7 linked regions of the Macaca mulatta genome follow. The protein of the gene in region 1 interacts with the protein of each later gene in a biochemical or structural test. Links are inferred from orthologs where the notes say so. Each region holds a gene or a part of one and is shown in the gene's direction. Other genes may lie near its edges.

Region 1 (4,227 bases):
GCAAGCCTCCCCAGTGCTCTCCTCCTGGCCCAACCACGGATAGCCTGAGTCAAGAGAATCCCCTTCACAGTCAGACACCCAGCTTTGTCGCCGTGTGACCTTGGGCAAATGACCTCACCTCTGAGCCTCAATGTCCTCTTCTGCAAAATGGGTTAGTGATCCTGACTATGGGGCTGTTGATTCAGGATTCGGCGGAAACGCCCAGCACTTCCTGAGCACACAAAGAGTGCTGAGAAAATGGTAGCTGTTTTTTGCGATTATTGACCCGGGGCCTGATCAGCTCTGGCGCGACTCGGCGAAGGCGCGAGTCCTGCGGGTCCCATCCCTGCCTCCTGGAGAGCCAGGCTCCAGCGATAGAAGGCCCGGGCGTTGCTTGCTCGTCGCCTCCAGTGCCGCCGCGCCCCCTGGCGGCCGTCGGTTGCCATGTCAACGGAGGGTGGCGGGGACCGGGGGAGGCGGAGGCGGGGGCCGTTTTCTCCTCCCAGGGCCGGAGGACGCTCCCTCCGCGCCTCCCGCCTTCGCCTCTTGGGGGGGCACTCCGAGCCGGGGAGGAAGGGGCTCTCCGCGGCAGCCGGCATGTGGGGGTAAACTGAGGCACGCGGCTGGGCGCCCGCAGCCAGGTGCCGAGCGCGGGGCCCCACCTCCGAAGGCGGAGGAGGGGCCGCGGGCGGTGACGCGCCGAGGGCGGCCGGCGGACAGCGAGCGGGCGGGCGGGCGGGCGGGCGGTGGCGGCGGCGGCAGGTGCGGCCGCGGAGGGTGGGAGGGAGGAGGGCGGGGGCGGGCGGAGGAGGAGGGGAAGGCGAGGCCGGGCACCTCCCCCTTTATAACGCGCCCCCTCCCGGGCTCTCGGGCCGTCTCCTAGTCGGCTCTTCCCGTCTCGCCCCCTCGCCCGGCCGCCCCGGGCCCGGGCCCGGCCAGGGAGCCCCCAGGCCGCGGCTCGGGGGCTGCCCCCCCGCCCGCCGCCCCGCGCAGCCCGGCGGAGGCGGCGCCGTCGGAGGAGGAGGAGCAGGGCACTGCGGCTGGCCCCGGATCGGGCGCCAGAGCGGCAGCAGCTTCGGCAGCAGCGGCGGCCCGGGCCCATGCAGCGGGACGCGCCACCCCGAGCCCCAGCTCCGGCGCCCCGGCTCCCCGCGCCCCCGATCGGGGCCGCCGCCAGTAGTGGCGGCGGCGGAGGCGGGGGCAGCGGCGGCGGCGGAGGCGCCTCTGCAGCTCCGGCTCCCCCTGGCCTCTCGGGAACTACAAGTCCCAGGGGGCCTGGCGGCGGGCGGCGGGCGGAAGAGGCGGGGTCGGCGCCGCGAGGCCGGAAGTGGCCGTGGAGGCGGAAGTGGCGCGGCCGCGGAGGGGCCTGGAGCGCGGCGGCGGCGGGACCCGGAGCGGGAGCGGCAGCAGCAGCGGCTGGGGGCGGCGGCGGCGCGTTGGAGGCGGCCATGGCAAAGCAGTACGACTCGGTGGAGTGCCCCTTTTGTGATGAAGTTTCCAAATACGAGAAGCTCGCCAAGATCGGCCAAGGCACCTTCGGGTAAGGCTGGGCCCCTCGGGGCCGGGAGCCGTGGGCCTGCACCCCTAGGGCGGACGTCGGGATGCCCCGGGCCCCGCCCGAGTTGGTAGAGAAACCGTCTGTCCCCGGGCTTGCCCACTGGTCTTTAGGCCGCGCCGCACCCCGCCCCGGCCTGAAGGAGCCGGCTGGTGGGGAGGAGCCTGAGGCCGGTGGTGGGGGCGGGGAGGGGCTGCAGAGAGGCGCCCGTGAGGGGAACGGGATCTCTCCAAGAGACGCCCAAGTGAGGAGAAGGGACTGAGAGAAGGAAGCAGAAGCTCCGAACGAGACAGGGTGCCGGGTGGCGGGGTAGCCGCGTGCCCTGGGTACTTACCCCAGCCCCGCCCGGGAATCTTTTTGCTGCTGCCCCTCCTCCTGTAGTGGGGGAGGGGCGGGCCCTGCGGAAATCGCCTGATGAGCTCTCGGGTCTCCCTTTCCGCCTGCAGGGAGGTGTTTAAGGCCAGGCACCGCAAGACCGGCCAGAAGGTGGCTCTGAAGAAGGTGCTGATGGAAAACGAGAAGGAGGGGGTGAGTACGGATCGGGCGTGCGGGCCAGCCGTCTAACTGCCCAGGACCCCGGGTCGGTTTTCCACCCTGCTGCTTCTAGGAGTCTCAGGTTGAGATTTAATTTTTTTCGTAGTAGTTCAGAAATTTCCAGGGAATTTGGCCTCCACCCTAAAACTAAATGCTTCATTCTTAGGCAGTTATGGGTGAGACCGGGAGGGGGAGTTGATGCATGCATCGTGTGCACTTTAGTTCACGAAGTTAGGAAGCCTTTAAACACCTTTTTTTAGTGTTAAATTTTGCTTAATGTTAAAGAAAGATACATATGCATGCAAATTTTTGAAAAGTGACTAATACTCAGTTATTTAATGTGTTTAAAAGGAGCGGTCCCTCCACCCCATCTTAGCTCAAGTACAACGTCCCATAAACCTTCCTTTTCCTGATGTGCTTTAGCGAGGACATTTTTGAATCGTCATGTTTGTTGCCAACGAAACAGCCATAGAGCTGAAGTTTGAAGGCTGAAACCGCCGAGCATTTAGTGGCTAATAGCAAAGTATTGCTGTTTCAGTTTGTTGTCTCAAATCATCTCCTTGAAGTGTGCATGCTCCTACTATATCCATTTTACAGGCAGAGCTTCTGAGACAGCTGGTTTCAGAGCCCATGATCTTGCTCTGTCTCCCATCTTGCCTCTCAATATAGACCCCAGGGCTGGGCTCTGTACTGCGCTCACTCTTGACCACTTTCCCCTCTCTCCCACCCAGTTCCCCATTACCGCCTTGCGGGAGATCAAGATCCTTCAACTTCTAAAACATGAGAATGTGGTCAACTTGATTGAGATTTGTCGAACCAAAGGTAAGTTGTTTGGATCTTATGAGGAGATGACACTTGTAGCCTAAGGTTTTGTTCGTAAAGTTGGAACTAGACCCACCTAAACTGCCTCCTCTTAACTCAGATGGACCCATGGTGACTGCTTTCTCTGGTCCTCTTTCATCGTAGCTGGTGCTTCCTCGGGGTCTGCCCTGGCCCAGAAGAGGCACTCAGAAAATATTTGACCAGTGAAGGAAGGAACAGACAGATGCTCTGGAGGGCTTGGGTGCCCATGGGTTGGAGCAGGAAGAAAGAAACTGGTTGTGGGAAAGTGTGTTGGGTGTGGCTTTCTTGACTTTTTCTTCCTTGTATTCCTGCCTCAGCTTCACCCTATAACCGCTGCAAGGGCAGTATATACCTGGTGTTCGACTTCTGCGAGCATGACCTTGCTGGGCTGTTGAGCAATGTTTTGGTCAAGTTCACGCTGTCTGAGATCAAGAGGGTGATGCAGATGCTCCTTAACGGCCTCTACTATATCCACAGGAACAAGGTGGGGGCGAGAGCTGGGAGGAGGACCCAGGCTTGGGCTGGCCTTGGCTCCCACTACCGGGTGGATATCACTGAAGGAGCCACTCTTGCCCTTCTTGCAGATCCTGCATAGGGACATGAAGGCTGCTAACGTGCTTATCACTCGTGACGGGGTCCTGAAGCTGGCAGACTTTGGGCTGGCCCGGGCCTTCAGCCTGGCTAAGAACAGCCAGCCCAACCGCTACACCAACCGTGTGGTGACACTCTGGTACCGGCCCCCGGAGCTGTTGCTCGGTGAGGACTCCCGAGCGGGCCGAGGGGGGTGAGGGCCAGGCATCTACCTGGCCCCCGCCCCCCCACTGCCAGGGCTTCTTGAGCTGCCGGCCCTGGGGCATTGAGTCTCAGGAGGCCTCCGGGCTCAAGGGGCCCTCCTGGTGCGCTCTTCTTCCCAGGGGAGCGGGACTACGGCCCCCCCATTGACCTGTGGGGTGCTGGGTGCATCATGGCAGAGATGTGGACCCGCAGCCCCATCATGCAGGGCAACACGGAGCAGCACCAACTCGCCCTCATCAGTCAGCTCTGCGGCTCCATCACCCCTGAGGTACGGGGTCCCGGTCCCCCGGCAGAGGAGTGGGGAGTGGAATGGAGGGAGCGCTCCTCTCTGGAAGGGAGGCTGGTTTGGTGACAGGGCCTGCCCTTGAGAGCCACACAGGCTATGCGCCAGTCTTGGTTCCATCAGCCATTCTGTGGCCTTGGGCAGAACAACTGAGTCAGCGCTGGGTTTCTCTTCTGTGAACCAGAAATGTGACGTATGTCAGGGTTGGGCCTGGCATGTGGTATGTGCCAATCTGTGG
Region 2 (3,624 bases), on another chromosome or scaffold:
GCATACTGAAAAGAGTGAAGGATATAGGATATATCTTTAAAGAGAAATTTGCTAAAGCTGTGGGACAGGGATGTGTCGAAATTGGATCACAGGTAACTTGAATTCATTTTAATTAGTGGTACTATAGAGTAATAATGTTAAAAGCAGCATCTTTCCAGTTGGTATAAATACTCTAACAGTATTTGTCTAGTAGTATAAAATACTGGCAGATACTATATCCCTGCTGCCTGTGGATGTTGCTATTTATAGGAAACTGTATGGGAAACTACCTCCCACCCCATTATAAAAGCTATGTAATAAAGGAACACATACCACTTGTAGAAACTTTAGAAAATACAACTAAGAAAAAAATTGAAATCTTTGATATTAAATTTTTGATTTTGCTTTGACTTCTACATGTATGACTGTTCATGTATGCATATCCTAATGTGAATGGGACTATACTATACATGCCATTTCTCAGTGATATTACTGAGTGATATCATTATTATTTCAGGAAATCTAAAGCTAATATAATAGGTAAGAGTATGGGCCATGGAGTTACAGCCCTGGGTTTATATTTGGTTCTACCATTGTCAATCTTGGACATGTCATTTAACTTCTCTGAGAATCAGGTTCTATATTTGCTCTGCTTTTTTGTGTGGCATTAATGAGGATAATATACAAAAATATATTGGAAAACTGTAGTCCACTGTACACATTTATTTCAGTGTAGTGAGGTTATATTTTGATGCCATCAGTGATTTAAACATTGATATTTAATGGTTCTTTTTGATCCTACAGCCATGCGCCACTTAACAGGCATATGTTCTGACAAATGCATCATTAGGCAGTTTTGTTGTGTGAACCTGGTAGAGTGTGTCTATACAAACCAATGTGTTACCATTTGTGTATCTAAACATATCCAAATACAGAAAAGGTACATTAAAGATATAGTATAAAGGATAAACAATGGAACACCTGCACAGAGCACTTACTATGAATGGAGCTTACAGGATTGAAAGTTGCTCTGAATGCGTCAGTGAGTGAATGTGAAGGCCTACAACATTACCTATGACATTACTGTACACTATCATAGACTTTATAAATACTACACTTAGGCTAAACTAATTTCATAAACATTTTTTCTTCAGTAGTGAATTAACTATAGCTCACCGTAACTTTTTTACTTTATAAATCTTCAGTTTGGAAAAAACTTTTGACTCTTATAATAACACTTAGCTTAAAACACAAACACCTTGTCCAGCTGTACAAAAATATTTTCTTTCTTTATAATCCTTATTCTATATGCTTTTTTTCTATTTACATTTTGTTTTCAATTTCATAAACATTTTTGCCCAAAACAAAGGTAAACACACACATTAGCCTAGGCCTACACAGGATCAGGATTAATAATACCACTGTCTTCTGCCTCCAAATTCTGTCCCAACTCTTCAGGGACAATAAAATGCATGGAGCTGTCATCTCCTATGATGATGATGCTATCTTCTGGAATATCTCCTGAAGGAGCTGCCTGAGGTTGTTTTACAATTAACTTTTTTTTTTTTTTTTTACAAGTAGAAGGAGGATGCTCTAAAATAATGAAAAGTATAGGATAATAAATATAAACCAGTAACATATTCATTATTAAATATTATGTACCATACATAATTGTATGTGCTATACTATGACTGGCAGTGCAATAGGTTTATTTACATCAGCATCATCACAAAGATGTGAGTAATGCACTGCACTACAACATTACACTAAACAAAAGGAATTTTTCAGCTCTGTTATAATCTTATGGGACCACTGTTATATATGCAGTCAGTTATTGACCAAAAACATTGTTATGCGGTGCATGATCGTGTATGAGATTTTTGCTCTTAATTTGGAATGAAATAATATGGTGTGTGTTTATATCTCTAAAATTTGGTTATTCTTTCAAATAATGGGAACCAGTTATTTGGTTAAAACGTCTTGCTCATAAAGTCAGTTTGATCTGATTTTTTCTGTGTCAGTTTTACTAAATTTATGGACAAAGACTGTCCTCTTAATCCTAGACAACCATCTTGAAAATACATGTCCTAGGTCATGAGAAATGTTATAGAAGGCACATAAAGTGCTTAAAATAGTACTGGGCATATAACCTATCTTTAGTATGAATGATATAGACTGAAATGAGTTAAGGAAATTCAGGTACTGGACCTACCCTCTTGTTAATTTACTTGGGAATGTTAATCACCACTTAATACTTAAGTCTTGAGTTTTAGACAAGCTAGCTTGTCTTGGCGTTTTCTTGGCGGCCATATTTCTAAGAAGGGTGAGAAGTATGTTTTAAGAAAAGGCTTTTTAAAAAATTAGTAATTGTCAGCTGGGTATAGAAGTGCATGCCTATAATCCCAGCCTCTTGGGAGGCCAAAGCAGGAGGATCTCTTGAGCCCAGGAATGTGAAGGCCAGCCTGGGCAAAATAGTGACACTCCATCTCAAAAAAAAAAAAAAATTAGTAGTTGTGATTTTCTAAAATAGCAGGCTCTTATTTTTCTTTTTGTTTGTTTGTAGCGATACAAACTTGGAGTTCGCTTGTATTACCGAGTAATGGAATCCATGCTTAAATCAGTAAGTTGAAAATAATATAAAAAAATTTCAGCCGGGCATGGTGGTTCACACCTGTAATCCCAGCACTTTGGGAGGCCGAGGTGGGCAGATCATGAGGTCAAGAGATCGAGACCATCCTGGCCATCTTGGTGAAACCCTGTCTCTACTAAAAGTACAAAAATTAGCTGGGCATGGTGGTACACGTCTGTAGTCCCAGCTACTCAGCAGGCTGAGGCAGGAGAATCACTTGAACCCGGGAGGTGGAGGTTGCAGTGAGCCAAGTTCGTGCCACTACACTCCAGCCTGGCAACAGAGTGAGACACCATCTTAAAAACAAAAAACAAAAAATAAACCAAAAAAAAACCAACAAAAATTTCAATGCTAACACAAATAAGGTTTCAATTAAACAACTTCTTTTTTTTTTTTTTAATTATCTGTTTCAGGAAGAAGAACGATTATCCATTCAAAATTTTAGGTAAATTTTTTACTTTTAGTAAAACAATTTTTTTTTCTTTTTATAAAAGTAAATATCTTATAATCTTTTTTTTTCCTTTAGCAAACTTCTGAATGACAACATTTTTCATATGTCTTTATTGGCGTGTGCTCTTGAGGTTGTAATGGCCACATATAGCAGTAAGTTAAATTTTCATGAATAAACATTTTTGTTCAATTTAAAGTTAAAATGTAGTGTGTTTCTTTGGTGGGAGGAGAGGGATAGTGTGAGGTTAAGGAGAAGGAATGCTTATTTTAGATCACTATATACTGAACAATGTAATTGGTCATTATAAGCCATTTAAGAGGCTTATTTGAATTATTTGAGGCCATCTTGGGGATAATATTTCACTAGGCTCCTCTTCTGAGTATACTGGTATACTGAATTTAGAAAAGGTACATTTTGAAATCCCTCCGAAGACCTGTGAGATTGTAGAGTGCCAAAGGAGTATTCAAGAGTGGCCTCTACTGATATGGAAGCACTGCTATAACCTCCATGGTTATGAAACTAAAGACTGAAGCTGGAACCCACTGGATAAACAGAACGAAGGCCA
Region 3 (3,624 bases), on another chromosome or scaffold:
CTAATCAGGCGGCTAGGAAACCAAAAGTAGATGGACAGGTATCAGAGACACCACTTCTTGGTTCATCTTTGGTCCAGAATTCCATTTTAGTAGATAGTGTCACTGGTGTGCCTACAAACCCAAGTTTTCAGAAACCATCTACATCAGCATTCCCTGCACCAGTACCTCTAAATTCAGGAAATATTTCTGTTCAAGACAGCCATACATCTGATAATTTGTCAGTGCTAGCAACAGGAATGCCAAGTACTTCATACGGTTTGTCATCACACCAGGAATGGCCTCAACATCAAGACTCAGCAAGGACAGAGCAGATATATTCACAGAAACAGGAGACATCTTTGTCTGGTAGCCAGTACAACATCAACTTCCAGCAGGGACCTTCTATATCACTGCATTCAGGATTACATCACAGACCTGACAAAATTTCAGATCATTCTTCTGTTAAGCAAGAATATACTCATAAAGCAGGGAGCAGTAAACACCATGGGCCAATTTCTGCTACTCCAGGAATAATTCCTCAGAAAATGTCTTTAGACAAATATAGAGAAAAGCGTAAACTAGAAACTCTTGATCTTGATGTAAGGGATCATTATATAGCTGCCCAGGTAGAACAGCAGCACAAACAAGGGCAGTCACAGGCAGCCAGCAGCAGTTCTGTTACTTCTCCCATTAAAATGAAAATACCCATTGCAAATACTGAAAAATACATGGCAGATAAAAAGGAAAAGAGTGGATCACTGAAATTACGGATTCCAATACCACCCACTGATAAAAGCGCCAGTAAAGAAGAACTGAAAATGAAAATAAAAGTTTCCTCTTCAGAAAGACACAGCTCTTCTGATGAAGGCAGTGGGAAGAGCAAGCATTCAAGCCCACATATTAGCAGAGACCATAAGGAGAAGCACAAGGAGCATCCTTCAAGCCGCCACCACACCAGCAGCCACAAGCATTCCCACTCGCATAGTGGCAGCAGCAGTGGTGGCAGTAAACACAGTGCCGACGGAATACCACCCACTGTTCTGAGGAGTCCTGTTGGCCTGAGCAGTGATGGCATTTCCTCTAGCTCCAGCTCTTCAAGGAAGAGGCTGCATGTCAATGATGCATCTCACAACCACCACTCCAAAATGAGCAAAAGTTCCAAAAGTTCAGGTAGTTCATCTAGTTCTTCCTCCTCTGTTAAGCAGTATATATCCTCTCACAACTCTGTTTTTAACCATCCCTTACCCCCTCCTCCCCCTGTCACATACCAGGTGGGCTACGGACATCTCAGCACCCTCGTGAAACTGGACAAGAAGCCAGTGGAGACCAACGGTCCTGATGCCAATCACGAGTACAGTACAAGCAGCCAGCATATGGACTACAAAGACACATTCGACATGCTGGACTCGCTGTTAAGTGCCCAAGGAATGAACATGTAATAATTTGTTTAGGTCAATTTTTCCTTTACTTTTTTAATTTAAAAATTGTTAGAATGGAAAAATTCCTTCTGATCTAGCAGTGGTAACCCCTGCTGTTGCTGCCACTGCTTCAATATTTGTAAGTGCTGCTTTATTCTTCATTCTGAAAAGAAGAGATTATAGTAAACAAGTCTTTATCTCCACATATGATAGTGTTATAAATACTGTAAAAGCATGGAAGGTGCAAAACTCAGTATTTCTACAATTGCAGCTAAGAACATTAGGATGAATGGCTGGCTGCTTCTAGGAATATAAGATGCCTCAAGCATTCATTATTTATGATTTGAATACTGTAGCTATTTTTTGTTGTTGCTTGGCTTTTGAATGAGTGTAAATTGTTTTCTTTTGTGTATTTATACTTGTATGTATGATTTGCATGTTTCAAAGATAAAGGGATAAAACAGTATACTGATAACTGTTTACAAGAAAGTGGAGAAAAATGTACATACATTTTTGTATGTTTAGATATTACCATAAATACTCAGGATTGGAGCTGCTTGTAAGTATAACAATATACAGAATAACTTTATTTTATCTTGTCAGAGTCCATCACTAATCTAAAACAAAGGTGGCACTTTTTTACGTTAACCTTAAACTCTAGGCCTTACTGGAAGCCACTGATAGGGGACACTTCACTACCAGATGTGTATGCAGTGCCACAGATGGTCACGTACACTGTGAGGCACTGAAATTTTGCCTTCAGAGGTTCTGACCAGATTGGCTGCTGAAATAGCCCCTAACTTTCTGAAGGCTTGAAGAGGAAAAAATAAAGTTTACATACTCTTGATGTGAAGTGCATTTAAATGTTTGTTGGCTTGTTGCAGTTCTATGAAACAGAGCTGTTAATAATGGTTATGTGGATTACTGTGATTTGAAAACTAAATTCACAATAACTTACCTAGTAGAGACTTAGTGAGTTGTTTCCTTTAAAGAATTTTACACTACATATTTTAGCAGTAAACGGGGATCACTTTTCCTTTAGCATTCAGAATGACACCACATTCTTAAATATACTCCTTCCCTGAAGCGTGTTTGTGTGTGATGCCATATTTCTTTTTCAGGTAAATGTAGTCTTCCTTATAAAAATGAAATTAAACCTATGCTCTCTCAATTCTTTTATATTCTAACAATAAATAAAAAAGAAAAGATTACTGACTGTGCATTGTACCTGTATTTATAGTTATGGTTATCAGGAAGCTCTGTAAGAAAGAAGAGGTCAGCCTCCTAGGCAAACCACTAGTGGAGGTTTTACATTTGTTTGCACATCTCAGTGTATTTCTGTTGAGGTAAAGTTTGCACAGTCATCTGACTTCTGATCAAACATTGGATTTTAACTTGTTTAGATTTTGTCCTAAACACCAGTAATATGGCTCTTGTTTATCAGCTAATCTTGAATTTATTCTGTGGTAAATCTTTGAGTTGAGTATATTTGAGATTGATTGGATTCAACCTCTTGTTGAACTGAAAACAATTTTTTTTTCTGTATTTTTGTTACAAAGCCACTGATATGTGCACAATTGTAATTTTACTCGAGTATGTTGCAGTTTGTAAATATTAGAGTTTAATCTTGTGCTCTACCTTTATTTAGCAATTATCTAATAGCTTTATAATTTTTAAAGATAATTGTTCTTTATTTTGTCAATGTTATTTGAACTTGGGGTACTTAGGAGCCTCTTTGTAGGGACTGTGCCTAGGTAGCATGTCCTAACATTTGTTCTTGTCTTGCATAACTTTAGTGATCTTTGTCATTATATGTAACTTTGTTGCTCTGTATGGCATAATATTGTATCCATAAACATGGTAATTTTGATACAGTTATACTTTTACAGTGGTACATAATCCAAGGACTAGTATAGAATTAAGCGAGTGCAAGATGAGGGAGGGAAGGGCTTTCTTGATAATTTAGATGTGAAACCTCTACAAGAGCTATCATGTAAAAACTACATAAGGTGGTTGTGCTACTGTATAGTTGGGGGTGATAATACCAGGAATTTTAATAAGATTTTGTAAAGAATATCCAGAAAAGTAGTGAACTTATTTTCAGTAGACATAGATAACAATGTGAATATTTAAGGTCTGTGACTATAGTTAAACTTCACTAAGAATTTGCAGAATTGTTTTGAGATGTGGGAATAAAGGTAATTTTATTGAATCTTCATTGGTGCTA
Region 4 (3,624 bases), on another chromosome or scaffold:
ACTGCACTCCAGCCAGGGCAACAGAGCGAGACACCATCACACACACAAAAAAAGAAATGCTCAGCTGGGCACGGTGGCTCAAGCCTGTAATCCCAGCACTTTGGGAGGCTGAGACGGGTGGATCACAAGGTCAGGAGATCGAGACCATCCTGCCTAACACGGTGAAATCCCGTCTCTACTAAAAAATACAGAAAACTAGCCGGGCGAGGTGGCGGGCGCCTGTAGTCCCAGCTACTCGGGAGGCTGAGGCAGGAGGATGGAGTAAACCTGGGAGGCGGAGCTTGCAGTGAGCTGAGATCCAGCCACTGCACTCCAGCCTGGGCGACAGAGCGAGACTCCGTCTCAAAAAAAAAAAAAAAGAAATGCTCAACCTGTGTTAGGTAAATAGATTGTAGTAATGACATGGAAGAAGTTGTGAAGTTAATGAGTTACAGATTGAAGTTCGGTATGCATCCATTAATGTTGTTGCTGGTATGGAAAGAGGGATTAGAGGCCAGGAGAGTAGGGAGGAGGCTGGGGTAAGGATCCAGGGGTTAGAGGGCAGTGTCGTGGCCTAGGCTCAGATGTATGGGGCTGGGGGGAAAGGATGGGTTGGAGAAATGATGTTCACAGGCAGAAAGGATGAGGATTTGGTGCCTGTCGGTAATTGGAGGAGGCCAGCACAGGTCTAGGGGAAGACGTTGAGGTCAGTTTGGGACACAGTTGGTATGAAAAGGCTCAGAGGACATCTGGGGGAGGCATCCAGGATGCTGCTGGTGCATAGAGGTCTTGAATTCTGGAAAAAGGTGGGAGTCTAGAGACAGATGAGGGTGTCGTCTGTAGAGACAGGAACTGGGGTCATGGAAGGTAAAATGTCCTGGGAGAGAGTGCATGGAGGGAGAACAAAGTGGCCCTGGACTGAGCCCTGGTAATTGATGTCAGACTTGAAGGGGTTAATAGTAAGAGGAGCTTGAAGAGGAGCCGTTGGAGTTTTGAGAAAAACCAGGAGAGCATGGTACAGCAGAAGCCAAGAGAGGAACATTTCTCCAGGGAGGGCATGGTTGGAGTGCCAGACGCTGCTGGGATGGTAGGGAATACAGAATGGCCACAGAATTAGCAACAGGGCTGGCCAGTGATCTTGGTGAGCAGTGTGGACTAGAAACAGAGATGGGAGTCACTGTCACAGAGATGTCCCCCACCACCAAGGGAGAGGACAAGTTGGCCTTGGGGAGTTGTCGAATGGGAAGAGATGGGCTGGTTGCTGTGGCTAACACCTGTAATCCCAGCACTTTGGGAGGCAGAGGCGAGTGGATCACCTGAGGTCAGGAGTTCAGGACCAGCCTGGCCAACATGGTGAAGCCCTGTCTCTACTAAAAAAATACAAAAATTAGCCAGGTGTGGTGGCGCATGCCTGTAATCCCAGCTACGCAGGAGGCTGAGGCAGGAGGATTGCTTGAACCCAGGAGGTGGAGGTTGCAGTGAGCTGAGATTGTGCCACGGCACTCTAGCCTGGGAGACAGAGTGGGCCTCCATCTCAAAAAAAAAAAAAAAGAAAGGAAAAGAAATGAGGCCCAAGGACCAAGCTTCATCGAGCTATTATAGTTAAAGACCCGCTGGAAAGTGAGCAAGAAATCTAGTGCAGGGAGAAGCCCAGGTCAACTCCCAGGGTTGGTTGAGTGGCTGGGGAGATGGCAGTGCTGTTGCTGAGATAGAATGGTAACCAGAGAGCAGGCTAGAGTGAAAGGGGTGTATGCAGGGCAAAGGGGGCTGTGATTGACCAGGGCGATCTGAGGTCAGATTTAGGGTGGGGAACTTGGTTTTCGGATTTTGGGGTAGTAGAATTCTGGTGCTACAACCCTGCCTGACACCTGTAGGTAGAGGAAGAACGGCGGAGTGCGGCGGGCAGTGAGAAGGAAGAAGAGCCTGAGGAAGAAGAAGAGGAGGAAGAGGAGGAGGAATATGATGAGGAAGAGGAGGAAGAAGATGATGACCGGCCCCCCAAGAAACCCCGCCATGGAGGCTTCATTCTGGATGAGGCTGGTATGTCACAGTGCTGGGCCAGTGCTGAGCAGAGGCTGAGCTTCCACTTCTAGTTCCATTTCTTTTTTTTGAGACAGAGTTTTGCTCTTGTCACCCAGGCTGGAGTCCAATGGTGCGATCTCGGGTCACTGCAACCTCCACCTCCCAGGTTCAAGCGAGTCTCCTGCCTCGACCTCTCAAGTAGCTGGGATTATAGGCATGTGCCTTCACACCCAGCTAATTTTTTGTAGTTTTTGTAGAGACGGGGTTTCACCGTGTTAGCCAGGATGGTCTCGATATCCTGACCTCATGATCCACCCGCCTCAGCCTCCCAGAGTGCTGGGATTACAGGCGTGAGCCACCGCGCCCAGCCATATATCCATATATTTTTTTTGAGACAGAGTCTCGCTCTTGTTGCCCAGGCTGGAGTGCAATGGTGCGATCTTGGTTAACTGCAACCTCCGCCCCCTGGGTTCAAGCGATTCTCCTGCCTCAGCCTTGTGAGTACCTGGGATTACAGGCGGCTGCCACCATGCCCAGATAATTTTTGTGCTTTTAGTAGAGACGGGATTTCACCATGTTGGCTAGGCTCGTCTCGAACCAAAAAACAAAACAAAAAAACACACACAATCACAGGATCATTATGATCTTTTTTTCTTTTGAGATGGAGTCTCACTCTGTTGCCCAGGCCGGAGTGCAGTGGCGCGATCTCAGCTCACTGCAACTTCTACCTCCTGGGTTTAAGCGATTCTCCTTCCTCTGCCTCCTGAGTAGTTGGGATTACAGGCGTGTGCTACCACTCCTGGCTAATTTTTGTATTTTTATTAGAGGCAGGGTTTCACCATGTCAGTCAGGCTGGTCTGAACTCATGACCTCATGATCTGCCTGCCTCGGCCTCCCAAAGTTCTGGGATTACAGGCGTGAGCCACTGCGCCTGGCACCATTATGATCTTTTAAAATCTGACAGTGGTTTGTACTTGTCATGGAAAGCTCAAATGACTTGAAATTAGGTAACCTGAAAAGGTAGTCTGACAGATTTGGGGCCCTTCTAGCCTGGCTCCACTGTTTTCTCCATGTAGCCCTGGACAGCGTCCTATGTGTCACTGAGTCTCCTCCTCTCTCAGTGCAAGGGGGAAATAGTTCTTTCTGTTACAGCAGGGATATGGCGAGGATTTGGGGGACCATGCATATAAAGCTCGTTAAGTTGATGGCGACCTAGAATGTAATGCCTAACCTAGGAAAAGCCCTCAGAAAACAGGGTTGTTATTTGTTAAGGTTACGTAGGTCCACGTTATAACCACTTTTCTGTAAACTGCTTTTTATCGTTCCACAGTTGCAAAAGTAGAGAAACAGAGACAGCTTAGGTTAAATGACTCAAGGTGTATAAGGAAAGTTTCTGGGCCGGTGCAGTGGCTCACGCTTGTAATCCCAGCACTTTGGGAGGCCAAGGTGGAGGATTGTTTTAGCTCAGGAATTTGCATATCGCAAGACCCCATGTCTGACAACAACAACAACAAAAAATTAGCCGGGCTTGGTGGCTTGCGCCTGCAGTCCCAGCTACTCAGAAGGCTGAGGTAGGACGCTCGCTTGAGCCCAGGCGGTCGAGACTGCTGTAGGCTGTGATTG
Region 5 (4,175 bases), on another chromosome or scaffold:
GGTCTCAAACTCCCAACCTCAGGTGATCTACCTGCCTCGGCCTCCCAAAGTGCTAGGATTACAGGCGTGAGCCACCGTGCCCGGCCGTTTACTCGTTCTTGTCTCCTCCATGCCAGACTCGACTCCATGAGGGCAAGGACTATTTCTGCCTCCCTCATTCCTATATTCCTAGGAGTTGGCAGTTCCTGACATTTAGTGGTGGATGAGGAATAAATGAAACCAGACACATCGACAGTGTCTGTAGTTCATGGCCCAATTTTTGTGTCTTGCTCCCCTTCCCTTTGCTTAGCCAACTCCTATGCATCCCTCAGTGCCCAACTGAAACCTCCCCTCTTCTCTGAGCCCTCAGAGCCCACTGTGCTTCTCCTGCTCCTTCCTGGGTTGTAGATTCCCATGTTATGAGTCTGTCTCCCCCACGACACTGTAACCCTCGAGAGGACACTGTAACCCTCGAGAGGACACTGTAACCCTCGAGAGGACACTGTAACCCTCCGTTGGGAGCTGGTTTGACAGATTCACCTTGCGGGGCCCCGAACCCAGGAGGTGCTCGAGTATTTCCGAAGTGGAGCAATGAATGGTTGCGCCGTGAGCATGCGCAGTTGTGTTACTGCCATGACTGGGGCGTGTGTGCATGCCTGGAACGGGGTAGGGGATCCTGCATCTCCCTACTGTTCTCTGCAGCCTCCTTCCCTTCCCCCCAGGAAGCCAGCCAGCCGCCCCCGCGACGTTACCCTTCTCCTGGGGCCTCAGAGCCCTGCCCATCTCGGGCAGCTTGGACTTGCAGAGACCCATCCAGCCAGCAGGCCTTGGGGTGGTCGCTCCCCGACCCCGCCCAGGCTCTGACCCCTCCTGGCTCCGCACAACGTCACAAGGGTCCCCGCCCCGGTCATTTTGCGACAATGACGGGGTCCATTCCTTCGGGGGAGGAAATGAACCCCAAACAGGCCCATGGGGAGCCAAGCAGCGGTTCGACCCAACCGGAGTAGGCCTCGGTTGCTATGGTGACGCGGCCTTCTTGGCCCTCCCCAACCCCGGTCCAGAGCGATATGGCGCATGCGCAAAGTGCCTGGGGGCCCGCAAGGAGGACTCTTCTCCCTCTCCCCACCCAGGATGCCCCGCGGTCCTTGGGTGTGACGTCACGAGGGAGGGCGGCCCCCCATTTGATGAAGTTAACTGTGTTGTATAAAAGAGCGCCAGCGACAGAGGCCGGTTAGTTTATCTCAGACTCGGCCTGGGTTTGCTGAGTCTAAGAAGGGACCGTGGTGGCCCTTTTGAGGTGACCATAGCCGCCGAGGAGCATAAGTGACTGCGCATTGAGGCGGCCACAGTGGCTAAGAAGGTTGCCATCGCGACGCGGCCGCTGGAGGGTTTCGCTTCCGGGTTAAGCGGCCGCAGAAGCGTAGACGGAGTAGCTGCAGCGCCTCTTCCGGTTACCTTTTCCCAGTGCCGGAGGCGCCTGGGGTTGGGGTCTTCGCTCAGGGACAGAGACCCGACAGCGAGCGGCGGCTTGCCCGGGATCGAGGGACGCGCACGCCAGAGGAGACGAAAGGAACCCGGGTCGGACCAGATCGGAACCACTGACCATAGCCCATGGCGGCCCTAGTGAGTGTGGATTTGGCGGGGTTCCGGGGTCCCGACGGCGACCTCGGCAACTCCTCACTCACCGTCCGGTTCCTCTTTCCGCAGGGCCCTAGCAGCCAGAATGTCACTGAATACGTCGTTCGAGTTCCCAAGTAAGTGTCCAGCCCCATCTCCCCCTCCTCTCCACCCTCCAAAAATGAAAACCTTCACGGTCTTCTTAGCCAGGCGTTTCTGGCCCTGTCTGTGATTCTCCCTCCAGACTGGGAGAGACTTGGAGGGCAGGGCTGGGATTAAGCTGAGGCTTCCCTGGAGACAACCCTGCTTTTTTAAACGAATGAATGAATGAGTGCATTAATAACACGGCGATCCAGCCCCCTGGCCTAACCTTCGATCCCATGATGCTCAGGCCAGCTGTAAAGAACATATTCCTCGTCCTGTTTCAAAATGGTCGGGCTATCTTTCCTTTCTAGGCTTTTGTACATCCTGTTCCCTCTGCCATGAGTGCCTCCCCTCAACCCCTAAACTGTGACTCTGCTGGGTGAATTCTTGTTGATTCTACAAAGCTCAGCTCCAGTATCTTCCTCCTCCAGGAAGCCCTCCATGCCTGTCCTCCCTCCTCCCCAAGGCTGAGTTCACAATAATCTCCACATCTTGGGTTCCCTCAAATCTTTGTCCCTCCATCTGCTCTTCTTCTGCCTGGGGTCAAGAGGGGATGGGTCTAGCTTCTCTGGCAGACTGGGAATCCTTGGAGTCTTCTGTATCCAGTGTTGCCAGGCAAAACAGGCTGAATGAATCGAATCGGGGTGGGTTTGTTGAGTGATTGAATTGAATAAATGATTCAATTGAATGGAATGATTGAATTGAATTGATGGTTCAATTGGATTGAGCGATTGAATTAATGATTTGATTGAATTAATGATCCAGTTGGATGGCTGATTGAATTAATGGTTCAATCGCATTAATTCATTAAATTAATGATTGAACTGCTGTATTGGATTGACACCACCTCTTTCTAATCCACTCCAGGAATACAACCAAAAAATATAATATCATGGCTTTTAATGCAGCCGATAAAGTCAACTTTGCTACGTGGAATCAGGTAAGTCCCTGGGTCCTGGGGGTTGGGAGCTGGGGTGGTGGGAGAACATGACCCTGACCTTGGTGATTGTAATAGTTGCTTAACTGTCATAGTAACTAAGTCTTAATTTTCTCACTTTTCTCAAAATGAAGAAAAGATAGATGACAAAGGATTGGGTGCAGTAGTTCACACCCCTGATCTCAGCACTTTAGGAGGCCGAGGCAGGAAGCTTGCTTAAGGCTAGGAGTTCAAAACCAGCCTGGGCAATGTAATAGCAAGACCCCAACTCTACAAAAAAATTAAAAAATTAGCTGGGGCTGGTAGTGTGGGTCTGTAGGCCTACATAGGAGGCTGAGGTAGGAGGATCGCTGGAGCCCAGGGGTTCAAGGCTGCAGTGAGCTATGATTGCATCACTGCACTCCAGCCTGGATAATAGAGCAAGACCCTGTCTCAAAAAAAAAAAAAAAAAAAAAAAGTCCGGGTGCCATGGCTCAAGCCTGTAATCCCAGCACTTTGGGAGGTCGAGGCGGGTGGATCACGAGGTCCGGAGATCGAGACCATCTTGGCTAACATGGTGAAACCCCGTCTTTACTAAAAAAATACAAAAAAGTAGCCGGGCGAGGTGGCGGGCGCCTGTAGTCCCAGCTACTTGGGAGGCTGAGGCAGGAGAATGGCGTGAACCTGGGAGGCGGAGCTTGCAGTGAGCTGAGATCCGGCCACTGCACTCCAGCCTGGGGGACAGGGCGAGACTCCATCTCAAAAAAAAAAAAAAAAGAATGACAAAGGCCCAGGTCAAGCTCCTGGGTGTCCCTGTAAGTTAGGTTTGGTAGGCCCACCGGAGGCCTCTCCTTAAAGGAGAACATTCAGAAGTTGTGCCCACCGATGGGCATTTTTGACCAGGGTTTATCTGGGCAAGGGAGGGGACTGGGCTGGGGGCTTTCCCAGAGCCCCTGCCATCAGAGGCTCTAGAAAGGAGTTTGGGAGCCATTAAAGTGTTTTCAACTGGGAGGTTGTAGTGTGATCTGGCTGTTGTGGGGAGACAGACTGTGGGTTTGAGGGCAGTTAAAGGGAGACCGGGTAGAAGCAACTGGTCTGGTCTAGGTGAGTCCTGGTGGGCACTGGGGGCAGTGGAGGTTATGAGATGTGGCTGATTCTAGAGTGTTTTGGAAATGGTATATATGGACCTTAAATCAAGAGCTTAAGGGTAATTTGGATCATATTAGCCACATAGGTCACGATAAATGGTAACATTTGTAGAGATTTTGGTGCCTTAATGTCAGCAAATGTTGCACAATGAGATTCTTTTTATTTATTTTATTTATTTATTTTTTGTGATGGAGTCTCTTGTTGTCCAGGCTGGAGTGCAATGGCACGACCTGGGCTCACTGCAATCTCCACCTCCCAGGTTCAAGCCATTCTTCTGCCTCAGCCTCCCAAGTACAGGTGCCTGCCACCACGCCCAGCTAATTTTTGTCTTTTTATGAAGTTTCGCCATGTTGGTCAGGCTGGTCTTGAT
Region 6 (4,347 bases), on another chromosome or scaffold:
TCAAATGAGGTGACAATCACGCCCCACTACCCCTTGACCTGTGTTCATCTCTTTAAACTGCGCCGGTGGCAATAGCGCTACAAACAGCTATAAATTAACCTAATAACGCCACACTGGACACTACACCCACACTCAACAGCTTAGAGTCAGTCACTAATCAATATTATTTCTGTAAACCAGTGAAATTCCTGACAAACAAGTTCCTTTTAGTCGACTCCCTGGCTCCCTTTCTTGCCTTTAAAACCCACTGCTAACTGCTAATCGGAGTACACACTCAGGGTGCCCTGAATTTCTGCTCCTCAAGGGTGGCCCAAATAAACTGTCTACTTAAAGAAACTGTGCCTCCGCTTCCTTTTAGGCCGACAGTTTCCAAAATGTTTACTAACATGAGAAAAGCCACCATATAAAAGTGAGGGGAAAAGGCAAATACAGGATAATCTCAATTGTACATAACATTTATATATGTAAGGACAAAGATACACAGTAAAAAAAGAACTCGGGCACGTATTAAGGCTGAAAAAGTAAAAACAGTCCAGAGCGGCCTGGCTCAGTCCAGCCTCCCGCCTCGGCCTGCCGAGTAGCTGGGACCTCAGCCACCGCGCCCGGCTAAGTATTAATGAATCTATTTTAGAGATGGGGTCTTGCTATGTTGCCCAGGCTGGTCTCCAACTCCCAGGCTCAGGTGATCCGCCCGCGTCAGCCTCCCAAAGTGCTGGGACTACAGGCTGGGCCGCCCGCCCGCCAGCTTAATTCACGTAAACTCCCGACAAACGTAGAAACTGGCTCTCCTTTAATAAGACACTTGCGGCTGCTGCTCATCAGGGTTCGCCCGGGGCCACTGGGACCACGCGCCGTGCCCGCCCTCCCGCTGCGGTCGCTCGGATTTTCTGAGCCCACCAGGCGCTTCCGGGCGCCTTGCCCCAGGCGGGCCCACCGCCTGCGCGGGCCGAGGGCGGCGCACCTGCCCCTGCGCTTCCGCGTCGAAGGGGAGGTCGGAGGAAGAAAAGACCACAGCAGCTCCCGCGGCGTGGGGTCCGCTCTGGACACGGAGCGGGACACGAGGCGGGGCCCCCCGGACGCCAGCTGCCTCAGGTCTCTCTGCCCGCGGCGCGCACGGCATGCCAGGACCCGTAGTCTCGCGACATTGGGACTCGCAGTGCGCGACGGAAGTCGAGGAGAGCGGCTCGCGGTGCATGCCGGAACTCGTAGTCTCAGGAGGCTGGGTCTCGGCGTGTGACGGGGTAATAGGCCGCAGGCTTGCGTTGAACGCTGGGACTCGTAGTCCCGCCATGCCCTGCCCGCGATGCACGCCGGGATACCAAGTTCCGAGCGCGCCAGGACTGTCAGTGGGACTGGGAGACAGCGGGCCGCGCTGCATGCCACTGCTCCACGGTGCCGGCTCCCCGAGGAAAAGTAGGGCGCAGAAACGCAGTACTCCGCGGCCGGCACGCAGGCTTGGTCCCAAGACGGAGCCGGCCCCGACACTCGCGCGGCGCTCGTGTTTACACACGCACGTACGCACGCACGCACGCGGCGCCCTTGCCGTGACGTCACGCGCCCTCCAGGAAGTCGGCGCGGGCCAGGCGGCGGGTGGAAGCCGGTACCGAGAGGAACTACAAGCGTCGCCGCCCGGGTCGTGCCGCCGCGGTGGGCGCTGCGCTCTGAGCGCACCGCAGGCCCCGTAGCAACCGCCCGCCCGCCCGCCCTCTGTCCGCGATGGAGGTGCCGGCCGCGGGCCGCCTTTCCTCCGAGGGCGCCCCGACGGCGACCGTGGCCGAGGTGCGCTGCCCGGGGCCCGCGCCGCTGCGCCTGCTGGAGTGGAGGGTGGCGGCGGGCGCGGCCGTGCGCATCGGCTCGGTGCTGGCCGTGTTCGAGGCCGCCGCCTCCGCGCAGCCCGCTGGGGCTCCTCAGTCTCGTGCAGCCTCCGGGGGCTGCGTGCGCCCCGCGCGGTCGGAGCGCAGGCTGAGGTCGGAGCGCGCGGGCGTGGTGCGGGAGCTGTGCGCGCAACCGGGCCAGATGGTCGCTCCAGGGTGAGTGCGCCGGGCCGGGCGGGGCCGAGGGCGGGCGGCTCCGGGGAGGGGTCCTGGGGGACCGCCCGGGCTGCTGCGGCCGCGTGGGCAGGGGCGCCCAGGGGACGGGGCGATAAAGCGGGACGCGGGCACTGCGCTTCTCCCCTAAAACTAGATAGTCACCACCTGTGGTTTTACCAATGGGGAGCATTTTGAGATGAAAGGGTCCTGCGTAGCGACACGAAGTTACTGTTTGGGAAAGCGATGGTGTTTGTTTTTTCCTTCTGCAGTGATAGTCCCCGCCCCTTCCTTTAGCTCCACCTTTGTGACTTGGGAAAACTCATGGGTGGCTGTGAGCACAAGAGTCATCAGGCAGGCTCCAGACCTATTATTGATGGGCGTGTGCACATCTTTAAATTTTTGTAAACTTTGTGAAACGCAGTTGTAAAACCTGGTGCAGCTCTGTTTCGTGGCTAAGGAACGGGCGGAACTCAGGCCTGCAGCGAAGGCAGTGGCCCCGTGGTTGACCACAGTGGGCATTGTTGCAGGTGATGTGGGCGTGTGACAGACTCCACAGCTGTCCGTAACTGTGCTCTGACCCCAGAACCCCTTCTGGGATGTGTTTCCGTAACACCGAAGCGTCCAGCCGTGTCTGAATCTACCCTTGTGTTCTGGGATGAACAGGCATGTAGCCACGCGTGTGCGCCTGGCTGTGGTGGTTTTGATTGTCAGAACAGAAACTCCAGGGAGAGGTGGGCACTCCAGCCTGCAGTGGGCCGGGCCTGAGCTCCCTCTGGGAATGATGCCGCTCCTTCGGGGGATGCCAGTCTCTCCCTCCTCGGCAGCCGCCGTTCCTCGTCCCTGTGGCTTGCCCTGACCCTGTGTTGGTTGAGAATCTGCTCTGCACCTGGTTCTGCAGGAGTAAGGATTGGGACAGGAGTCTTCCCATCACAGCCCCAAAACGTCCTGGCTCTGCTTCGTTTGGAGACAGAGCCTGGGTCCTTGACCCTCTGCACGGGCACCCACTCTGTCCCCTGCGTGCTGGTGGGTGGGGCTGGGAGGTTGAGGGCCGTGCCTCCCAGGAAATGCCTGCACGGCTTCCTCAGTGGGCACTGGTCATACCTGCGAGGATCGTGGAGGCAGACCCCAGTGCTGGTGTATTCTCTGGGCAGAAAACCCCAGGATCGAAGAGCCGTACTGATGTTTCGTTCTGTTCCTCTGATTGTACAGAAAGGGCCACTTTGACCTGGACAGGTGAATAACTTGGTTATGTGACTAGGTAGTATTGAAACTCCATGTTCAGTCAGTCTAGTGAATAAAACCAACCCAGTGCATCAATCAGCCGGCTAATTAGTTTGATGACGGGTTCCCAGCAGTCAGTACTTTTTTACAGGGAGGTGCTGTTTGAGATCTTGGGGTACCTCACGGCAGTGGTTCGTCACAGGGCCCTTTGAGACACTGACGTGATGTCATTTCTCCTCGGAGCGTCTGTGTGGCACCAGGTCTTCCTCTAGTTCCAGGAGGCTCGTCTGTCTGCCTCCAGTCCACTGGTGGCAGGTGAATCCCTGCCTTAGAGAAAGCCACAGGCGGTGTTACCTGGAATTCAAGGTGCCTCCTTTCCCATTTCCGTGTACTCCTGTGGGTTTGTGGACAGGGGTTTTGTGAGCATTCTGGGGAGTGTGGTGGTGTGACGTCAGCATTTCCAGAGGTGTTCCTCCCCTTGCAGTGGGCACGGGTGCCATAGATCCAGGAAGGAACGGCTGGGAAGGCTTTAGTCTGAAGCCGTGTGCGTGTGCCCTGGCAGTTCTGGTCGTCTGTTTGGAATCAGGTTCCTGCCTCGCGGTTGTTAGCTAGCTGAATTCGGGAGGTGCATTTGCAGCAGGAGTCCATGCTGCTGACAATGGCTCTGTTCGGTCCCGAGGACGCTGCCCTGGCTTGGCGGGCTGCCGTTGGGAGCCGGTATGTGTTGGCCTCCCCAAAATGCCTGCTGCACCTTTGTGGAACACAGTTGAAAATTGCTAGATTAAGTCACTTGTTGACAGATTTTGTGAACAGGGTGGGGGTTACAAGTGCGTTTCTCTGGCAGCACGCCTGTGATGGGAGTAGCGCCCTGCAGTGTAGACTTGTGGCTTTGCCGACGTCTCTGTAGAGAGCTGCATGCAGGTAGAAATCTCCGCAGCTTTTGCTTGAAGCCCAACAGTGACGCATCTCTCCAGGACATGAGTTCCAATTCAGCAGCTCTATACAGTTTGCAGCTGGCCTTCGAACAACTTGGTTTGGGCTGCGAGGGCCACCTTTATGTAGATGTTTTTCAGTAAATCATCTGCTCTCCGCATCC
Region 7 (4,424 bases), on another chromosome or scaffold:
GAGCCCAGCATACAGGGACATCTGCAGGCAGGAAGGTGGCCCCGCCCTGTGGAGTCACTGAGATAAAGCCAAGAGATGTTTTGGGGAGGAAAAGCTGTTTCTGATGCTAAAACAGGTATCTAAAACGGGACCCAGTGTTCCAGCTTCCCCAGTCTGAGCTTTGAGTGACTTCAGCTGGGACCTGGGTGCACCCGGGTTCGTTGTCACCACCCGTGCTCCTAGGGCAGCTGTCCAACCTCCCACACCCACTCCGCTCATCCTTGACTTAAAGTGAGGTTGGGGGGCAGAAAAATTGGAGAAACACACTATCTTTGGCACCCTTTTCCCTCCTCACCTTCAGCCTGAAAGTCCCAGAACCTTCCTAACCTCTCCACTTGAAAATCTCTCCTGAGGAAACCACCAGACTGAATGCTTTTGGGTCGTTGTGGAACTATTTCTCTTCCAGTTGCCAGCATTTGAACACAGTTGCTAAATCCTCCCGGCCTCTGGGAGAGGCTGGTTTTAGGCCGCAACCCCGACCCCACGCTGAAGTCGGTGTCCCGCCTCCCAGCGAGGGCCGGGATAGGGCTCACCCCTCTCCCTCACTTCCTAACAAACTGTGTGGGTCCCAGGCTGCCTCCGGAAGCTCCAGATCCAGATCCCTGACTGGGGGTGTAGGTCAGGAGGAACGCGGGGCCTCATTCAGGGCCTCCCCCAGCCTCCTCCTCTATCACCTTTAGGAGGCCGAGAATCCAGGGAAAGATCTCTGACCACTAAATCTGCGTGCAGGTGAGTCACGGCTAAACAGCAGGCTTTTTCTTTTTAACAAGAGAGCGACGAAGACTACGATGTCTCCGGGCTGCGGGACCAGGCTGCTTCCTCGCACCTGCGCGTGTTTTCCTGTCTTTTCCGCGCGCGCTTCCAGCGCCCGTCCTGCAGGAGAAGGTGCGCCCCCAGCTCCCAGCCCCCAGCTCCCAGCGGGGCACCTGCCGGCCGGACATGGGCCTGGCCTGGGCTCCAGGGGAGGGAGGGCGCGCCCCGGGAGGACCTGCCAGGCTCCTTTCGCCTCCAGGCCGGGCTGACTCCTCCTGCAGAGCCAGGGCCGCGCCAAGTGCGTCGGCAGTTTCTGGGGTTTCCAGGCCCTGAGGACGCGGGGAGATGCGGCCTGGCACTCCTCCCGCGAGGTCGAGGTCGGGGTCGGGGTCGGGGTCGGGGTGGGTTCGCAGGCCAAGCCACGCGGGAAGGGTCGACGGGCCGCAGTTGGGAGCCCAGTTCGGCAGCGGGCGAGGCTCCAGGCCGCCCCTCTGAGGTCTGACCCTGCGCGTGGGCCCCGTGCGCCCCCCGAGTTCCGCGTGGGCAGAGCGGGCCCCGGGTCCTCCGAGCTCCCGGGGCGGCTCCGGCGGCAGCGTCCAGGTGGGGTGGGGCGGGCCGGGCGGGATCGGCCTGTGTTTACCTGGCTCGCAGGAAGCCCGGGGAGGCGGGGCCGGGGAGCGGGGTGCGCGCCCGTCCCTCCGAGCCGCCGCCGTCAGTCACCGCCGCCGCGCGCCAGAGAGAAGCAGCCTCCAGCCCCGGCGGCCCCGGTCTCCCGACCCCGGAAGGCGGCGCAGGCTGCCCGGGGACCCCGCGCGTCGGCGCTTGAAGCCGAGACGAGCCCGCCCGGGCCGAGCAGGGGGAGCAGGGCCTTGGACCCCGCGGCGCCCCTCGGCCTCGGAGCAGCGAGCGCAGCGCCGGTGGGTGACCCTCAGGGACGGGCGGGCGGCTCTGCCGCCTTTGTCTCTGTGCCCCTCCGAGTGGGGACCGCGGAGACCTGGGCGGGATCCCGGACCCAAGCCCCGCGGGAGCCTGGGACGCAAGATCTGGGACAGGAGCTGTCCCGAAGCCCGGACTCAGGGTCCCTCTCTTGGCTGGGGACGCGCAGGGGGAACCTGGGCAGCGGCGCAGGTGGCCGGGCAGGTGGCAGCCGGCGTCCTCCCTGACCCGAACCCACCTCGCCGGCCCCGATCCCCACTGCGAGGGGGTGGGCGCGGGTGTAGACGCGGGTTTACAGCGCCGGGGCCGGACCCTGACAGTTGCCCAGGGGTGGTCTCCAGCCAGGCCCGGCGGTCCCAGGGTCGCTGCCACCGCTCGGCCTCGGGCTGTGGGGCTGAGGGGAAGAGTCTAGGGTGGGAGGGGACGGCGGTCAAAAGCGGCCACTCTGGGCGGGTGCGGAGAGGGCGCTGGCGGCCAGGGCGGGCTGGAGGGTCCTCCCGACTCGCGGCGCCTGCTAATCACACCCCGGGGGCCCCGCGCGCGATCGCGCCCCCGACCCTGCCCCCAGGGCGAAGCGCAGTCTCCCTCTGAGCTCCAAGGGCGGCCGCGAGAGCCCGGGTACGGGCTTCCGCCTTCGCAGGGCCTGTCTCGGGCTCCTCCGCCCGGCCGGTCGCTGCGCCCACCTGAGCCCACGTGCGCCGCCTGCAGCCGCCCGCCGGCCCGCCCGGGTCTTCCCTGCAGCCGCCTCCCGGGCCCCACTGCCTGTCCTGGGCCGGGTGCGTCCGGTTTCGGTGGCCCCCGAGGCCGGCGTGTGTGACCTGCGGTCATTTGCCGCCACACTGTATTTTCCACGGTGCCGGGGGCAGCGCCTTGTGTCCTTTCGCGTCCACCAGAGCCCCCCGTTTTGGGAGGTGGAGTGGGGCTTGGGAAAAGATTCAAGCGTCTTTGGGGACCCCAGTGCGACTCTGGCTGGAAACAGGCGCGTTCTGGTTCCTTGTTCCGTTTTCCAATTGCAACAACATGAGAATCAACAAGTGCTCGGTTTCTCTGCGCCTGGGTGAGGGGCGCGTAGGCTCGCTGGGTGCTGGGTTGGGAGGGGCGTGGACTTCGTTCCGGCGAGGCCGCTGCCTGGTCTGACCACAGAACGTCCCGCCTGGAAAGAGTTTTTCAGAGGAAGGAAACGTCAGGGAACATCCAATGTGTTTTTTGGACATTTTATCTGGCGAAGCTCCGGGGGACGGGTTAAGGACGGTCACCCTCAAGTCAGGGAACCATATGGATTGAGCAAGGTCCTGCCCGGAGCTCCCTGGCGGCCACCTCCAGTGATGGACACCTCCTTAGCGTTTGGGCTGGGGCTGTGGATACGGCCGAGAGCCAGGAACCCACCTGCCTTTCAGTAGAGAAGGCCAGGGGAAAGGGCACCGCGGCAGAGGGTGTGTGTGTGTGTGTGTGTGTGTGTGTGTGTGTGTGTCTTTTGTTTTTTAGGGTTTTGTAGGGGAAAGGGCACCGCAGCAGAGGGGTGTGTGTGTATATGTGCGTGTGTGTGTCTTTTGTTTTTTAGGGCTTTGTTTTGTTTTCTGTGAAATCTGAGGGGAAAGAACCCAGTTAAAAATTGTTGTAAATGCTGGAGTAACTCCCAGGGAGTTAACTGTTCTGAAACAACCACTTCTGCTAACTCCGGGTTAAACAAAGCTATTTTGTTCAATCTTCTTTGAAAATCCTCCAAAAGTATCACAATTCTGCCCAGAGATAAGAAAGCGTAAGATGCGTCGCTTGTTTTACACCTGGTAGCTCACGGTTCCTCCATGATTTGAGACATGGGGTTTGAGTTTGGTCAGTGGCGGTCCTAGCTGTGTGCACTGATTAAAGTTAGCCCCCAAACGCTGGAAAAAAAAAAAAAAAAAAGACCGCACTTTCGTGTGGTGTTTCTATTTCTGCCTGAATTTGTCAATGTTAATTGTAAGTTATTTTGTTTGACTTTTAATCCTCCTCCAAGTTCTTTAAAAATATGACATGCTTAAGATTAGCAGTTTCCTCTGTGCCTTTTCTGTCCCCAGGGAGTGTTTATCCACCACTTGCACATTGCCAGACTCTCTTTTGAGAGCGGTTTGTCACCTCGGATAACAGTTGGGACGGCCCTAGGATGCTCTCATTGGATGTCGCCATCCTATTCATATTTTCATTTTTTACTGATGAGGAAACAAGGCTCAGAGAGGTTAAGTTATTCTAAGGGCACATGAGAAGAGGGCAGGATTCAGTCCAGGGAGTCTGCACCAGTGCCTAACTGCTGCTCTGCACCGCCGTGGTGAAAAGGATGGCTTGCAAAGGTGTTCCTGGGTCCTCCTTTTAAAATTCCACCCCTAATAATGAGTGAGTGTACCCAGAGATGTCCCACACACGTTTCCCTTCAAGAATGATTTGACCATAAGGCCACTGGCATCCGTCTTTGTTCATCATCCTCTCCTTAGCTTTCTTAGTTGTCAATAAAAGAGAAAAAATATTCTAATTACTCCTTGTCTTTTTTTTTTTTTTTTTTTTGATAAAGTCTTGCTCTGTCGCCCAGGCTGGAGTGCAGTGGTGCAATCTCGGTTCACTGCAACCTCCACCTCCTGGGTCCAAGAGATTCTCCTGCCTCAGCCTCCCCAGTACCTGGGACTACAGAGGCACACCACCATGCCTGGCTCATTTTTGGGTTT

What was found.
Region 2: of the proteins of CDK9 (region 1) and RB1, one has a biochemical effect on the other in vitro, tested with the Homo sapiens proteins (4 studies listed by BioGRID, with this or other methods). The link is inferred for Macaca mulatta from reciprocal best matches to the Homo sapiens genes CDK9 and RB1.
Region 3: the proteins of CDK9 (region 1) and CCNT2 form a complex in vitro, tested with the Homo sapiens proteins (4 studies listed by BioGRID, with this or other methods). The link is inferred for Macaca mulatta from reciprocal best matches to the Homo sapiens genes CDK9 and CCNT2.
Region 4: of the proteins of CDK9 (region 1) and SUPT5H, one has a biochemical effect on the other in vitro, tested with the Homo sapiens proteins (4 studies listed by BioGRID, with this or other methods). The link is inferred for Macaca mulatta from reciprocal best matches to the Homo sapiens genes CDK9 and SUPT5H.
Region 5: the proteins of CDK9 (region 1) and GTF2F1 form a complex in vitro, tested with the Homo sapiens proteins (2 studies listed by BioGRID, with this or other methods). The link is inferred for Macaca mulatta from reciprocal best matches to the Homo sapiens genes CDK9 and GTF2F1.
Region 6: of the proteins of CDK9 (region 1) and CTDP1, one has a biochemical effect on the other in vitro, tested with the Homo sapiens proteins (3 studies listed by BioGRID). The link is inferred for Macaca mulatta from reciprocal best matches to the Homo sapiens genes CDK9 and CTDP1.
Region 7: of the proteins of CDK9 (region 1) and MBP, one has a biochemical effect on the other in vitro, tested with the Homo sapiens proteins (2 studies listed by BioGRID). The link is inferred for Macaca mulatta from reciprocal best matches to the Homo sapiens genes CDK9 and MBP.

Annotation. Positions count from the first base shown.
Region 1 is NC_133420.1:19,920,616-19,924,842, reverse strand, and holds the start of CDK9 (cyclin-dependent kinase 9), read left to right. Parts: upstream 1-1,379; 5' UTR 1,380-1,427; coding exon 1,428-1,519; intron 1,520-1,980; coding exon 1,981-2,062; intron 2,063-2,799; coding exon 2,800-2,890; intron 2,891-3,228; coding exon 3,229-3,395; intron 3,396-3,495; coding exon 3,496-3,667; intron 3,668-3,825; coding exon 3,826-3,974; intron 3,975-4,227. UniProt on the Homo sapiens protein: Protein kinase involved in the regulation of transcription.
Region 2 is NC_133422.1:27,573,639-27,577,262, forward strand, and holds part of RB1 (retinoblastoma-associated protein), read left to right. Parts: coding exon 1-92; intron 93-2,542; coding exon 2,543-2,599; intron 2,600-3,021; coding exon 3,022-3,053; intron 3,054-3,134; coding exon 3,135-3,211; intron 3,212-3,624. UniProt on the Homo sapiens protein: Tumor suppressor that is a key regulator of the G1/S transition of the cell cycle. The hypophosphorylated form binds transcription regulators of the E2F family, preventing transcription of E2F-responsive genes.
Region 3 is NC_133417.1:26,562,852-26,566,475, forward strand, and holds part of CCNT2 (cyclin-T2), read left to right. Parts: coding exon 1-1,418; 3' UTR 1,419-3,624. UniProt on the Homo sapiens protein: Regulatory subunit of the cyclin-dependent kinase pair (CDK9/cyclin T) complex, also called positive transcription elongation factor B (P-TEFB), which is proposed to facilitate the transition from abortive to production elongation by phosphorylating the CTD (carboxy-terminal domain) of the large subunit of RNA polymerase II (RNAP II).
Region 4 is NC_133424.1:50,555,149-50,558,772, forward strand, and holds part of SUPT5H (transcription elongation factor SPT5), read left to right. Parts: intron 1-1,853; coding exon 1,854-2,019; intron 2,020-3,624. UniProt on the Homo sapiens protein: Component of the DRB sensitivity-inducing factor complex (DSIF complex), which regulates mRNA processing and transcription elongation by RNA polymerase II.
Region 5 is NC_133424.1:7,269,488-7,273,662, reverse strand, and holds the start of GTF2F1 (general transcription factor IIF subunit 1), read left to right. Parts: upstream 1-1,348; 5' UTR 1,349-1,590; coding exon 1,591-1,602; exon of another isoform or gene 1,603-1,667; intron 1,668-1,686; coding exon 1,687-1,733; intron 1,734-2,607; coding exon 2,608-2,680; intron 2,681-4,175. Other genes in the region: adenylate kinase isoenzyme 1, read right to left, coding at 732-915, 1,282-1,347. UniProt on the Homo sapiens protein: TFIIF is a general transcription initiation factor that binds to RNA polymerase II and helps to recruit it to the initiation complex in collaboration with TFIIB. It promotes transcription elongation.
Region 6 is NC_133423.1:1,304,111-1,308,457, reverse strand, and holds the start of CTDP1 (RNA polymerase II subunit A C-terminal domain phosphatase), read left to right. Parts: upstream 1-1,541; 5' UTR 1,542-1,716; coding exon 1,717-2,030; intron 2,031-4,347. Other genes in the region: uncharacterized protein LOC106994590, read right to left, coding at 962-1,378. UniProt on the Homo sapiens protein: Processively dephosphorylates 'Ser-2' and 'Ser-5' of the heptad repeats YSPTSPS in the C-terminal domain of the largest RNA polymerase II subunit. This promotes the activity of RNA polymerase II.
Region 7 is NC_133423.1:3,679,871-3,684,294, forward strand, and holds the start of MBP (myelin basic protein), read left to right. Parts: upstream 1-1,506; 5' UTR 1,507-1,709; intron 1,710-4,424. UniProt on the Homo sapiens protein: The classic group of MBP isoforms (isoform 4-isoform 14) are with PLP the most abundant protein components of the myelin membrane in the CNS. They have a role in both its formation and stabilization.